2 linked regions of the Arabidopsis thaliana genome follow. The protein of the gene in region 2 purifies or fractionates together with the protein of the main gene of each other region. This does not show direct contact. Each region holds a gene or a part of one and is shown on either strand. Other genes may lie near its edges.

Region 1 (7,464 bases), 130 kb from region 2:
ATTACAGCGCATTGCTGTCATTTTTTGGGGGATTTGTGTTCGCCCCGACCACATACTTTGTAAGCGCGAATACTCTACTCTTAAACTGCTCTTGATATCATCAAACTTCAATCAACATGTTAATAACTCTAACAAACATAATGATATGTTATCTTTCAGATCCCATGCATCATGTGGCTGATCCTAAAGAAACCAAAGAGATTTAGTCTCTCATGGTGTATGAACTGGGTAAGATGTTTGTAGTCCTCAGATCAAAAGCTAAATATGACACTTACAGCTAAGTTAAATCTTTTTTTTTGGAGCAGTTTTGCATCATTTTTGGGCTTGTGCTGATGATCATAGCACCTATTGGGGGACTGGCCAAACTAATCTATAATATTCAAAAGGGCACTCTACCTAATTCAAGATGCAACTTACCTAAACACTGACGATTGCCTTGTAGGTAACATAAATTGGTTGGACGCAACAATTTCGCTGGTACTAGAGTCTAGAGGCTCTATTACCAAACTCGAGTGTAAATCTATAGAATTAACTCTGAGACATGCTCCCTCTCTCTCTCGGTGCTGTCGGTCATTGGTTTATTGAATTAACCAAAATTTTACTCACTACACAAAGTGTTATTGATTGTTTACTCGGATAAAATGCCATCGCATTGGTTAAATATCAATCTAACTATCATTTTTTACAACAACTCATGTACACTTGACTGCTGTTATCCAAGACACAACACTCATGAATCTCAGTCGATTTCACCCTCTTCTACTTCATTGCCGGGATCTGGAAACGCAAGCATGTCGGATTCATCTTCATCCTCCTCATGTTTCATAAATAGCCCCAGCTGCTCTAGAGGATTACTTCCTCCAAACCCAAATACAGCCAACCCATCAGACTCAGAGCCAACATCTCTTAGATTTCGTAACTGGTCCGTGTTAACCGTTTTGAGCAGTTCTAGGTCCTTGAGAAACCTTGTGTTCTCATTTATTTCAACCGACTTCTCCATCTGGTGTACCATTCAGTCATGGCAATGATCAATATACATGTATTGCAGTTTATAAAACCAAACTGGTACAAGGCAGCAATTTTGATTTACCTCAAGCAATGCCTGCCGGGCTGCTTCTCTTTCAAGTTCCAGTTTCCTCTTAGCCTCTTGTGCCTCAGCTTTTCTACGAGCTTCTTCAGCTTCCTTGGCTTCTGCTTGTAACCGTGCTTTTTCTGGTGCACAAAACAATAAGAGGACAAGTTTATGTACGTATATACTACTTGGTATATATCATCAATCAAAAAATCGAAACTAGCAAATCAAGAATACCTTTCTTCTTTTGCAATTCCAGTTCTTCCTTCTCACGTTGCAGTGTCTCTGGGTCTCGTTTCTCATTCTGATCTCACAAATATAATTTTGAAAGTCAAAGAGGGAGGGCTAACCAGATATAACAGCTCACACCTCCACAAACACAGCTAACCTGATTAAGAGTTATCTCTTGAGCCTTCAAGATTATATCCGCAAATCGATTTTTCAATAGAGCAGCCCTGTAACGCTTTTCTGGAGGTAGTTCCTTCTCTTTTGGAGCACTATTTCCTAAATTATTAATGGGTCAAGAGTGAGATGCCACCCTCAGATATTAGAGCACAGATATTTTTCTGCTACACTTCTGAGCTTACCATCTTGATGACCATCTGCCCCCTCAATAAGACTTAGCTTCCCTCTGGATGCATCTTCCATCTGATTCAATCCACCGACGGAATCTGCTTTTAGAAAGGGAATAAGAAAACCAAGGTTTATTAATTAATATCAACAAAACTTAACATCTTTTGCACCAAAAGAGGAGTAATCACTGATTAGAGATAATATGATCACTATAGAAAATAGCAAACAGCGACCTGGGAGTAAAACAAGCAGAAAATGTAACAGGTCTATCACTATCATACTAGGTGTGTAATATGAGTTGCTATCAGTAAGGTCAGTAAGTTTCACTCCAAAAAAACTACAGAAGTAACATTGAGTATTCTAGATGGACGGCCACTTCTGACAAGAGGGAAGTAAAATGGTTCCGAGGGTTAAGTACATATAAGAATTGCAAACATCAAACGTCTGCAAAAGCTCCATAGAGAAAAAGACAAATACAATGTAGCAAGATTAAACAAACCACTGTAGTTCTCTAACGCCATACCTTTTTCTGTTCTGACAGTTGAGATGTGAGATATAGGGTGCTCATAATTACCAATGTCAACATCCTCGTCCTCCAATTCACTCCCTGCAAGTAACGAGGAGGAAATGACAGCTTAATCATAGAGTAGGACATGCGAATTAGCTCAAACAACAAAACCAGTGTATGCTAACCATCACAGTGTTGCGTCAATGAATTTCCTGGCCCTGACCCATGTAAAAGCTACATCAAGAAAGTTTTCGCTGTTTATCAGTCATGTTAACAAATGGATCAAGAATGAGATATAGAAAGGTGATTACCTCTAACACACAGGGTTCACCGTTTGAATCTTTCTTTTGATTTTCTCGCAGAAACTCATCAAAGAGATCCCGCAACTGGAACAAGGCATCATGACTGAGATCATTGATGTCAATCTCTATCTCATCATCTCCAGATCTCTCTTCCTTGGAGCTGTGATCTCTCAGGAAATTTATTATCTGTACAGGGAATTCTGTCAAGGACCCCAAATCTCTGCCAAGCTTTACTCTATCCTCATCTGTCATAACCCGCTTAGCAGGCTCTAAGAGGCTGTTACGTTTCACAGCATTCATCTTTCTCTTCTTAGCCACAGGCTCAGGTATCGCAATATCTTTGTGAGCAAGAGTAGCCAAGTTACTTGGTTCAGATTTGGTTCCGGATGACTTCTTCTCGATAGTTTTCCATCTCACTTCAAAAAACTTGCTGAGAGTATCAGCGAAGCGATACACATTATTATCTGACGGGTTATAAGTCATAGCATTGCGGAAAGTAAGACGGACATCAGCAGAAAACTCTGAAGGGCTTGAATACGTGCCGGAAGTTAACTTGCTTTTAACAGTTCCTAAATCCATAGGATGTTTGATAATGGTGAAATAATCAGGAATGTTGAGCTTGACGACGTCCACAGGGGTATTAAAGAGCCAACAATGCTGCTGCGACATCAATCGTTTAAGGAGGCTCTCACATTGCTTCATCCGAAGCATAGTGGAAGTGGTGACTGGCTCTGGTTTGGTTGCTGTGAAGGGGAGCACCCTTTTTCCAGGGCCAGTAGAGCATCGTGACATTCCAAAACTCTTGGGGCGAGACACATTACTTGCAGGTGTACTAGTAACAATCTTAGATATAGGAAGAAGGTCCCCAACACTCTTCTGAAAGGACCGTAGTTGTTCCAGCTCCTGACGAAGCGTATGAATCCACTTTCTCCTTTCTGATGATGACAAGTCAGACAAGGGTAAAACTATTCTCGGGACACCAAAAGTTTCATCATCCTTGGAAGCATTGGGGCTATCATCACAGCCGCCGGGAGAGTCAAAACTGTTACGATTATAATCTCCTGGGAAACCACCGTTCCTCACAGTCATGATATCGCCCACCGAAGTGCGAACCTGCACAAATCAAAATATTTAAGTCAGTTTTGAGAAACCCTAACTATGAAAACCTGAAAGCAATTCAATTCTTAGAGCCCTATAGTATTGCTGGAGGAGAGCAGTGAACACTCAATATGCATAAAAAAGGAAATTCGGAACTAACCAACTCGAAACACTTAGCAAGCGATCGAACCGGAGCAGAAGTAAGAGAACCGAGGAACAAGCGTAAATCTTCTCCAGCAGAAACAGATTAACGCTAGAGATTGGTGTAGAAGATGATGATGAAGAAGAAGATAGAGTAAAACCCTAGAGTGGAGACGAAGAAGACGACCGAGAAGTAGAGAGAGAACAAAATCGCTCTCTGCCCTCCCTTCTCTAGTGTCCCGTCCCTAACGAATGCTGCGTCTAACGCCGTTTTGCTACTGGGCAGGACTCAATCTGGACCGTCGGATCTGATCCCTCGAATTAAAATCGAATGCAAATACTTCGGTGCATAAAAATAATATCCTGGGCTTATAATGTAAAGCCCAATGAACTTTTTAATGTGCCTTTATTGGGTCTACGGATGACTCAACACGGCACGCTGTGAAAGCTCGAATCGCAGGAACGGCACGCGCTTTTTTCCTTCGAAAACAATTTCTTCTCCTTCTTCTTCAATTGATGGTTTGATTTACACATCCTTCTTCTTCCAGTTCCATGTCGCATACGTACACAGATTGACAGCGAAGCTAGTTAGCTCAGATTTTGGATCTCGAATTTCAGTTAATTCGATCCGGTTATGGACATTCTTTTTGCTCAGATCCAGGCGGACCTCCGTTCAAATGACGCGCTTCGCCAGTCATCGGCGCTTCTTCAGGCGCTGCAGCAATCCGCCGCCGGAAGAGATATCTCTGTGATCGCTAAGTCTGCTGTGGAGGAGATTGTTGCTTCTCCGGCTTCAGCTGTTTGTAAGAAGCTGGCATTCGATCTCATCCGATCTACCCGCCTCACTCCGGATCTTTGGGACACCGTTTGCTCAGGTGTCAAAACGGATCTTCATTTTCCGGACCCGGATGTTACCGCCGCTGCCGTCTCCATCCTTGCGGCTCTCCCTGCCTTCTCGCTTCCTAAACTCATCTCTGATTGCAGCTCTGAGATTGCTTCCTGCTTCGATTCTCCATCTGACAACCTTCGTTTTTCCATCACCGAGACACTTGGCTGCATCCTCGCGCGTGATGATCTCGTTACTTTGTGCGAGAACAATGTGGGTCTCCTCGACAAGGTCTCCAACTGGTGGGCTCGGATCGGCCAGAACATGCTCGACAAATCCGACGCCGTCTCCAAGGTTGCCTTTGAGTCCGTCGGCAGACTCTTCCAGGAGTTCGACTCCAAGCGGATGAGCCGTCTTGCTGGCGATAAGCTCGTTGACAGCGAGAACTCCCTCGCCATCAGGTCCAAGTGGGTCTCTTCCATGGTTGACATTGTATGGAGAAAGAGGAGCGCTTTGATGGCTAGGTCTTTAGTCCTTCCTGTCGAAACCTTCAGAGCCACTGTTTTCCCTCTTGTCTTTGCTGTCAAAGCTGTTGCTTCCGGTAGTGTCGAAGTGATTAGACAGCTTTCCAAGGCTTCCTCTGCTGCTGCTGCAGCTAATGCCACCGTTGTGGACTCCAACGCCGAGAAGCTGGTTGGCGTCTCAGATTTGGTTACCCATTTGGCGCCATTCTTGGCTTCCTCTTTGGATCCAGCTTTGATTTTTGAAGTGGGAATTAACATGCTCTACCTGGCAGATGTTGCCGGAGGCAAGCCAGAGTGGGCTTCACAGTCCATTATTGCAATTTTAACACTCTGGGACCGCCAAGAATTTTCCTCTGCTAGAGAGAGTATAGTCAGGGCCGTTGTTACGAACCTGCACTTGCTTGATCTGCATATGCAGGTATGTCGTTTTTTACTTCATTTAAGCTCGGTTAGTTGTGTACCTTTGTCTTGAAGCTGTGGCCTATGATTTCTGAATCATTCTTTTTGGAATTTGTTACGAAGGTTTCGTTGTTTAGAAGACTGCTGCTTATGGTGAGAAACTTGAGAGCAGAATCGGACAGGATGCACGCATTAGCCTGTATCTGTCGGACAGCTCTCTGTGTTCACCTTTTTGCCAGAGAAAGTGCCCGAAGAGGTCAGAAGCCTCTGCCTGGGACAGATATTATTTCTCTCTTTGAAGATGCAAGGATTAAAGATGATCTCAATAGTGTTACCAGTAAGAGCTTATTTCGGGAAGAGCTGGTGGCAATGCTTGTGGAAAGCTGCTTCCAGTTGTCTCTACCTTTGCCTGAACAAAAAAACTCGGGTATGGAGAGCAGAGTGATTGGTGCGTTAGCATATGGTACTGGTTATGGTGCTCTGAACTGGACAGAACCAGCCCTTGAGGTTGTGGAAGTTTGTAGGCCTTGTGTCAAATGGGATTGTGATGGCAGGACGTACGCTGTAGATTGCTATTTGAAATTGCTTGTTAGGCTGTGCCATATCTATGATACCCGTGGAGGAGTGAAGAGGCTGAAAGATGGTGCTTCCCAGGATCAAATATTAAATGAGACACGATTGCAGAACTTGCAACGTGAGCTTGTTAAGGATCTCCAAGAGGTAATTAAGCCTCAGCTGAAAGTTAGAAGTAACCCTTGGCAATTTTCCTCGAAGAATTTTAGTTAGGCTTTCTTAAGTACTATTTAATACTAAATGTGGAGGAGAACTATTGCTTGTGGACTGAAACGTGGTCAATGTCTTATAAAAATCTTGATCTCAATTTGGCAGGTAAATACCCCAAGAATCCTCGGGCGTCTTATATGGACAATCGCAGAACATATTGATCTAGAAGGTCTAGATCCACTTTTAGCTGATGACCCCGATGATCCATTGAATATTATCATAGCAAACATACATAAGGTTCTCTTCAACTTGGATGCCGCTGCTACTACATCGAATAGGCTACAAGATGTTCAGGCAGTCTTATTATGCGCCCAGAGGATGGGATCGCGTCATGCAAGAGCTGGCCAGTTATTAACCAAAGAGCTTGAAGAGTATAGGAACCATGCTGCTGCAGATACAGTTAGCAAACATCAAACCCGTTTAATATTGCAGAGGATCAAATATGTTTCAAATCTTCCTGAAAGAAAGTGAGCTTTCCCTTGGCTTGTAATCCTTTTATTATGTGAGTTTTACTGCATTTCTGGATTGGAACTCAGACAACCTATTATTTTCCAGGTGGGCTGGAGTTAGTGAGACAAGAGGAGATTACCCGTTTAGCCACCATAAGCTTACTGTTCAGTTTTACGAACCATCAGCTGCTCAAGACAGGAAATTAGAAGGTCTAATTCACAAGGCCATTCTCGAGCTTTGGAGGCCAAAGCCCACTGAATTAACTCTCTTCCTTACAAAAGGGGTCGACTCAACTTCTATCAAGGTTCCTCCCACAGCATATCCTTTGACCGGAAGCAGTGATCCTTGCTATATAGAAGCTTACCATTTAGCAGATACAAATGATGGAAGGGTCACTTTGCACTTGAAGGTTGGTATATATTCTACTGTATCATCCTGCAGTTACTTGAATACAGTTTTAGTGGATAAAGTTTTAGCGTCTCAACACCTTATACTTTATGTTACCTTTCAGATTATTAATTTGACAGAACTTGAACTGAATCGTGTGGATATACGGGTTGGATTATCTGGTGCCCTATACTTCATGGATGGCTCTCCTCAAGCAGTGCGGCAGTTGCGTAATCTTGTCTCACAGGTTGCATGTCATTCTTCAGTGCTTATATACTCCCATCTCTTTACAGTTCTCTAATTTCTTAAGTCTTGTCAGTTGGAAACCGTTTCTGTTCTTACCAATCAATCAGTTTCGTATATGTTAGCTGTATTATCATGGACTCTGTGATTTACTTTTG
Region 2 (7,464 bases):
AACACCAACTTGCTGTGTATCTCTTTCATCGTTTTATAACAAGACAATAGTTTCTTGTCCAACATGCTCTTGTGGATGCAGAAACACTTCTCAGCCAGGGAATTGTGTAGAGTAAGTTCTTCTCATAACTTTCATTACCTGAAAATATGTTAACTTGTTTGGTTAATTTTGGTGTCTTGTCTGTCCACACAGCCCAAAAGGTCCACGGATAGCATCAGTCATTCCAAATCCGGGGAAGAACGCATATATACCGCCTCTGGTCCAATGTACAAAGCATATGTGTCCAGTTAGAATCCACTGGCATGTGAAAGTCAACTACAAACAGTACTGGAGAGTTAAAGTCACCATCACAAATTTCAACTACAACATGAACTATTCACAGTGGAATCTCGTCGTGCAGCATCCGAATTTCGACAATCTAACTCAGACTTTTAGCTTCAACTATAAACCTCTGACTCCTTATGCTTCCATAAGTAAGTACACCATCATCTATCAGTCCCTTGTTTCTATAGAAAGGAACAAATCTTGATGTGTTTTTTTTGTTTTTGATTTGATATAGATGATACTGGGATTCTCTGGGGAATAAAGTTCTACAATGATCTGTTGATGCAAGCTGGGCCATTTGGTAATGTACAATCTGAGCTACTTTTCCAGAAAGAAGCATCAGCTTTCACATTTGAGAAAGGTTGGGCGTTTCCAAGAAGAATCTATTTCAATGGAGATAACTGTGTGATGCCTCCTCCTGATTCTTACCCTTGGCTGCCCAATACCGGCTCGCACAAATCAGTCGGTTCCCTGTTTGCAGCAATGGCCTTGTTACTGATTGTGTTCCTACATGGAAACTTGTAAGAATCATCAAGTGTAGAATTCTTCTGCTGCAGTTTTTCGAACTGATATAACCCATCAAGAGAGAGTTGGTAGCTTAGTTTTTTGTGTTCTCTCTTGTCTGTCCTCTTCCTGTACAACGCTTTAATATTAGATGGTTAACTAGATCCCCTTGAAAATGGCTACCACTTCTTTGTTCTCTATCTCCATGTTGGGAAGTAAAAGATATTCAGTATAAACTTTTGAAATAGTGTGTAGCATCAAGTTAAGAAACATTACTAGCAAAAAATAATGTATAGGAAAAGTCTCCGCATATGTTTCAGGGACAAAAAAAAGATTCAAAGATCAAAAAAACCCTGCAGCCAAATACACAGAGAAAAAGCTTTAAGGAAGACAAAAGATTCGTTATAGAATTGAGCTTCTCTGGGGATGAAACGGTTTTTCTTGATAGCTTTTTCAACGAACACTCAAGCCTTGAATAGCTGCAGCAGATGATGATGATGCCTGAGAACCTTCCTCCGTTACCTTATTCGATTCGATGGTAGTTATGATACTTGAAATGTTGTCCTACACAACCACACATAAGAATCAGATTCAGGAGATGTTTTGTAATAAAATTCTGTAATAAGTGAAAGCTTTTGTAGTTACCTTCCAAGTCGCAAGCTTTGTTCGGAGAGATTGCCATTGCTTTGTCCCAAATTCACGTTCGGAAGAGCGGCTGTAAGATATGAATCAAACCATCAAATAATGAATGTTGCGTTTAGATAAGTGCAGAGTTTCAATAGATGTGTGACTTGCCTGACAATTAAAACTTGGTTCATCTGATCCATCTTACACTCAATCAGTTTTGCAGTTATTGCCTTCACGATCCATAACTCGACATCCTGTTCATTTACCTGAAAACGAAAAGAAAAATGAGAAACTAAAAGGGTCTCAATATTTCATGTTAAGTGCAAGCAGAGGAGAGTTTTTACCTGAAGAGTGTCTTTAATCGAGGTGTAAGGTATTTTGCCAGATTCATCTGAGGCCAAATCCACTAGTGACAACAACCTCATCTTCGTAACACAATCTTCATTGGAAAGTCCTAGAAACACCACAGGATTCATCAGGAGATCATATTTCAGCAAAAACAGTTAGTGAGTTAACAATGTAGTACCATAGCTTTGCAGAAATCCCGAATTTGCATTTTGGAATTCCGTGTAGGCATTTAACCTCTGAGTAAGAAAAATCTTCAGAAGTTGGTAAACAGGTGCATATTTAGCATCCTTTTCCAATTGTGCTACGGCTGGCAAGTCCAATAAATCACACTGCAAGATTTAAGATTGCCATCGTTGAAATTCCAATCAAATATAAAAGAGCAGTGTCAGGACAAGAAAGACAAATCCAATTCACATTATGATACCTGGAAAATACTGGAAGCTTTGACAAATTCGATAACTGCACGCACAGCCTCCTCCTTGGCTTCATCCAGGACCTGAGCATCCTCATTGGAGAAAGTTGCTAGGTACTTCGTCAAGAACTTAAGGGATTCATTCACCAAGCTGGAGTATTAATAGAAAAAACCATGAGGCTATTGTTATACCCAAACGGAAACAAAAAAAGAAAGAGACAGAGAATGACTGATGAGCATAGTTATAAAGTATAAATTATGTTTCAATACCTTTTGTTTTCTTTCAGCACATTAGCAATGGCAAGAAAGAGTTCCCTCTGATCTTTAATGTCAATATTCCACTCTTTCAGAAAGTTATCGATCTTCTTAAAAGAAGAAACTATGTACTCAGTAACCTTCCCATCAACAGCTAGTGTAAGAGCTTTCATGTATACTTGAAATCGAGCATACGGGTGGTCAACCAGGTTATAGAGATTGAAGAGGCTACACAAAGATTAAGACAAAAAAAAAATGAGAAGTGTGATAAATGAGCAAAGCATTCAGAAATAAGCAGAAACGATTCATACATCTTCAAACGAAGTGAAGCTTTGTCACTGGGTTGTTGAGCAACCTTGGAAGCTATAGCTTTCACCATTTCAAGGACTTGCTCAGGGCTTTTCGCATTCTTGACAATGCTGCAAATGATGGTGTAGGTACACTCAAGATCTGAATTAAAAAAAGATGCAAATCACTGAGAATTGAATACTCGAAAGACATACAAAATAAACAGGTATAAGTAAGAATAGGAACACAAACCTTTCTCAGATATCTTAGAAGATACCAATTCAGCTGAAGTGACCATTAACGAAGACAATTCAAGCCACTTCTCTGCTACCATTGACTCCTCAGCCTCCCTACAGAGCCTGGTAATTTCTGGCTCTGCTGCCTAAAATTTGAAACGATAACTAGTTAAGTACAGGCAAGCCTTGAAAACTTAAGAAGTCGCTTAATGAAACTAATCTTAGATGGTTGAACTAATCGGATGCATCAGAATCCTCAAAGATTACAAACTATTCTAGTCCAGAAACTATCAACAAACCCTTCCATAACCAATCAGATTCTTCGAACGAAACAACATATACCAGATCAAATTTCCCATCTCACTTAAGATAGACATTCTTAAATTCCCACTATAAATTCACAACCAAGGTGTGGAGGTTACCTCGGGACCAGCATCGGCCCAGGCGAGCTGGGAAGTGAATCGGACAACAGCGAGAAAGGGATTTTCTTCGGAGGTGGGAACAATCGTCGTCATAGCTTAGCTCCGGTTTCGAATCTTCTCGGCTGCGCTGAAGAACAAATGCACCACAATTACAACTTGTTTCAGCAGCCGACCAGCAGAGACAAGAGAGAGAGAAGAAAATGAAACCCTAAATCTCTATATTTTTTTCTTTTCCGGTTAAAGGTAACCGGAACCGAATACGATTCCTAAATTAACGGTTTACCTATCTGACGGCTAATAAATTATGAGAAAACTCCAACGGTCAGGATTGAGCTCTAGTCCACAACCCTTATAAAAATCGATTTCTTCCTCAGTTAACATTTGAGAAGATTAGGGTTTAAACGCTGCCGTGTTCCGCCGGATCGCCACCGTTGAAGTCAAGATGGTACTTTTACTCTCTCCCTCTCTGTATCCTTTGTTCTATCTCTCTTAAATATTTCCTTCGCCTGATCGATTTCATGGTCTCTGATATTAGCCGTCGCACAAGTCGTTCATGATCAAAAAGAAGCTAGGGAAGAAGATGAGACAGAACAGACCGATCCCTAATTGGATCCGTCTCCGTACTGATAACAAAATCAGGTTTATAGATTTTCGTAAACTTTTTTCATTCGATCCGTGAAAAAGTTGCAGACTTTGATACTGAGTTCCATTGTTCCATCACCTTCACACAGGTACAACGCTAAGCGTAGGCACTGGCGCCGTACCAAGCTAGGATTCTAGAGCACTCTCACCGTGACTCAGATTCGTCCGAGTTTCTTAATTGCTTTCTTGTATCGGAATTGTGGTCTTTGACCCCTAAAAGTTTTAGTTTTTTGTTAAGGATTTTGTGGCTTATAGCTATGTTTAAATCTTAGAACTTGAAGAAGAGTGCATGATTATGAATTATAATAGTTGAATCCTTTCTCCTACAATTGGTCGTTGATTTGACTCTGTTTCTTTCTACTCTATGATAAAACGTAAGTATATGGCTGAATTCGAATCATTTCTCCTACGATTGATCAGAGCTTTGAACATGGCTGATTCAACGCAAGATCTTGTGGGCATTGTTTGTTTCATTTGATATAGATCTCTTGGTTGATCAGTACTTAGTTTATTTTCTTGGAACTCTTAAAGAGAACATTGTCTGAAAATTCCTTTTAACAAGACAAAGAAGAGAACAAAAGGCAAACATCACAATTGAATCACACAGGGTTCACTAAGGGATAAAAGCCAACACTTTTGATGATTTACACGAATCTGAATAGTGGGAAAAAAACTACAAGTAACTTCATTTGTTTCCAGATCCAGCAGGACTTGGTCCTCCAAACAGATAATCAAGAGAAGATCCTCCACCAGGAGCTGCATGAACCTTAGTAGATGGCCTGTCCTGTTCTCATCAACAAACATTTTTGGTTTTTATCAGTTTCCAAATCAAAAGTCAATTCTTTGATCTCAAAACTTTGTAAAGACTAAAGATCTCCTGTTACCGTGAGAAAGTTTCCACAGTTTTGGCCTTCTGATCTGAAGTAATTATTAGGACTTCCTCTAACACCTGCAGATGTCTTCTTGTTATCAGTGACTGTGGTCGTCGTGGTGGTTATCGGTCTGCCTCCGGTCCCATCGGTGGTAGTTGTGGTGGTTGTAGTAGTAGTAGTCCCCATTGTGGCAGCAGCAGCGGAAGAAGGCTGGCCGGAACCAAAAAGATAACCGAGAGAACTTTCATTCACGCCATTGTTCACTCCTCTTGCTTTACCCATCTTGTCAAGATCTGAATTTTGAAAATGTTTTATTAAGTTTGTTTATTTATCAGATCAGATCAGATCAGTTAAATGTGAGCAAGAAGATCCCAAAAAAGATTATCATTGAATCATTAAAGACACGTAATAAGAGAGATCTAAAGGATTGATTTTTATTTACCTCTCTCTGTCTCTGTAGTGTATCTTCTGCTTTCTCTACTTCTTGTTCTATGATTGGCCGATAATCAAGGAAGAGAAACAGATGGAATATGGATATGCACCGAGAGGAAAATGAGGAACACAAAAAGTATCTCGAATGGGCTTATACGGGCTTTGATTTGGGCTTTTGGTAATTCCATAGACATAGAACAAAGTTTCATAGGTTGTAGGAATAATTTTGGGCTTATGTAATTCTATAGACATGCATGACGAAGAACTTTTTTGAAATAACATGCATGGAGGAGGCAATTTCTAAGAAGAAGCAAAAGTAGGCGAGAATAATGAGACGCATTTTCATTTGATAATTTCTGACACGAAAGAAGAAACTTAACCACATTGTGTGAACCCATGACTTTGAGGATCATGCATCATCAGAGTTTGTACGATTTCATCATCCTACGGACGAGATTTCCTCGTTGACTTCTCTGAAGATTTTAGGTGATGTTGAAAGATGGCAATGACGACACATGAAACTGAAGTCTCAAATCTCCCTTTGAATCTCTCTTTTGCTTTTACATTTTGCGCCAGTTCTTCTTCTATTTTTAATTAGTACAATTTTTTTTGTTAAAGTGTGATTCCTATATCGTTTACATATTTTATATATACGTGAATGTGAATATCATCATCAATTAGGAATGAAAGTTTAGTTTACAAAAACGCTTTTAAGGCAGAATAGTTGCTTGCCAACGAAAAAAAAAAACAATCTGTTACTAATAAGTTTGTGATCTTTAGTCATAGTTTTTTTTTTTTCAAAGCATGTTCAATGTGTAGTGTGGGCTAGGGAAGAACATTCAATATTTAAAATGTTAAAAAGTCAAAAGAAAAATCTTCTGTTTCTTTCATTACATGACATTGATTATCAATTTTATTGGCAAGGATAATAAGAAGATAAGAAAAAAAGAAAAAAAAAAGTTCTAGCACTTGTTATCGGCAGAGAAAGTATATGATACTCTTACATGGTTTCCATACTTCATCTTTTGTAATTGCAGTACCCCACATTTTGCTGTGTAATTGTGCATTTTATTCTTTTCATATTATGGTTACATTCTTTTTCCCATGTGTTGAACAAAAGTATTATTTTAAGGAAATTTCGAGAAAATGAGATTTTAACAAACTCCAAGGTACATGAACTTGAGAGACCTTATGGGTTTAGAGAGTTAAGGCCCATCTGATTGACGCAACTCAATAAGATTTTTCTTCTGGTATATTGGAACCTAACGAAATATATAGGAGAATAGTATTAGTACGTATATTGGAACCAAATAATATATATAAAATATGAGTCAGTCTCTTTGTTACCAAATATTCTTGAGCTCGAAATCATAAACCTTAACATTTACGTTTTGGTGTTAACTAAGACCAACGTCAATTAAAGACCGATGAGCGATGACATTACAATAGGGACTGTTATTGGAACTTTTTCTTTTTATTTTGGGTCTTCCCTAATATTAGATCCGTCGCATGTGACATAAATTTTAATAGTTATAACTAACGTAATCATGATGAAGAAAGGAATCTTGACTAAGCTCCTCATTTAACTATCTAAATCTTTAGTGATGTATAGATTTAATAATAAACTTCATTGTTTTTAGGACGAAAGATGAATCATTTTCAGCTTGTAGTTTGTTACTTTTAGTTTTCTAAAAGCACATTTAAGTAAATAGTATAGAGTATAATTGATGTCTATACAAGTCAGTGAATACAAATTTAGACAAATATGTGGGCATAAACAAAGCCAGAGAAATCGTACTAATGATTTGTGATACGTTATTTTTCTTATAAGTTTTTTTTTTTTTTTTTTTTTTTTTTTACTTCTTAGGCATTAATAGAAGAACTATATAAAATTACTCCCCTGAAAAGAAAGATCATTAGATCTAACGAACAAATTATGTATGACTTGAATGCTCTTATATCTATCAAATGTTTGTTATTAAAACTATTATAAATTTTTATACAATGATATGTGTATGTAAAAGCATAATTATGCAAAATTGCAAAGATGTGTATGTAATGCTGGCAGTCAAAATCAAAGAAGAGAAGCCCCACAGAAATTA

What was found.
Region 1: the proteins of AT3G02200 (region 2) and TPLATE fractionate together in Arabidopsis thaliana (co-fractionation; one large-scale study listed by BioGRID). This does not show direct contact.

The regions. Positions count from the first base shown.
Region 1 is NC_003074.8:274,843-282,306, forward strand, and holds the start of TPLATE (ARM repeat superfamily protein), read left to right. Parts: upstream 1-4,039; 5' UTR 4,040-4,328; coding exon 4,329-5,462; intron 5,463-5,566; coding exon 5,567-6,163; intron 6,164-6,331; coding exon 6,332-6,693; intron 6,694-6,781; coding exon 6,782-7,085; intron 7,086-7,187; coding exon 7,188-7,310; intron 7,311-7,464. Other genes in the region: AT3G01760 (Transmembrane amino acid transporter family protein), read left to right, coding at 1-59, 160-228, 306-428; BET10 (bromodomain and extraterminal domain protein 10), read right to left, coding at 740-1,000, 1,091-1,212, 1,310-1,376, 1,461-1,576, 1,660-1,743, 2,169-2,252, 2,339-2,387, 2,465-3,544. UniProt on the Arabidopsis thaliana protein: Functions in vesicle-trafficking events required for site-specific cell wall modifications during pollen germination and for anchoring of the cell plate to the mother wall at the correct cortical position.
Region 2 is NC_003074.8:402,737-410,200, reverse strand, and holds AT3G02200 (Proteasome component (PCI) domain protein), read right to left. Parts: upstream 3,614-7,464; 5' UTR 3,510-3,613; coding exon 3,417-3,509; intron 3,141-3,416; coding exon 3,011-3,140; intron 2,921-3,010; coding exon 2,782-2,920; intron 2,699-2,781; coding exon 2,486-2,698; intron 2,367-2,485; coding exon 2,228-2,366; intron 2,133-2,227; coding exon 1,982-2,132; intron 1,910-1,981; coding exon 1,800-1,909; intron 1,722-1,799; coding exon 1,624-1,721; coding exon of another isoform or gene 1,620-1,623; intron 1,544-1,619; coding exon 1,474-1,543; intron 1,393-1,473; coding exon 1,282-1,392; 3' UTR 1,001-1,281; downstream 1-1,000. Other genes in the region: COBL1 (COBRA-like protein 1 precursor), read left to right, coding at 1-111, 193-473, 560-849; AT3G02190 (Ribosomal protein L39 family protein), read left to right, coding at 3,859-3,861, 3,952-4,055, 4,148-4,196; SP1L3 (SPIRAL1-like3), read right to left, coding at 4,744-4,842, 4,943-5,212.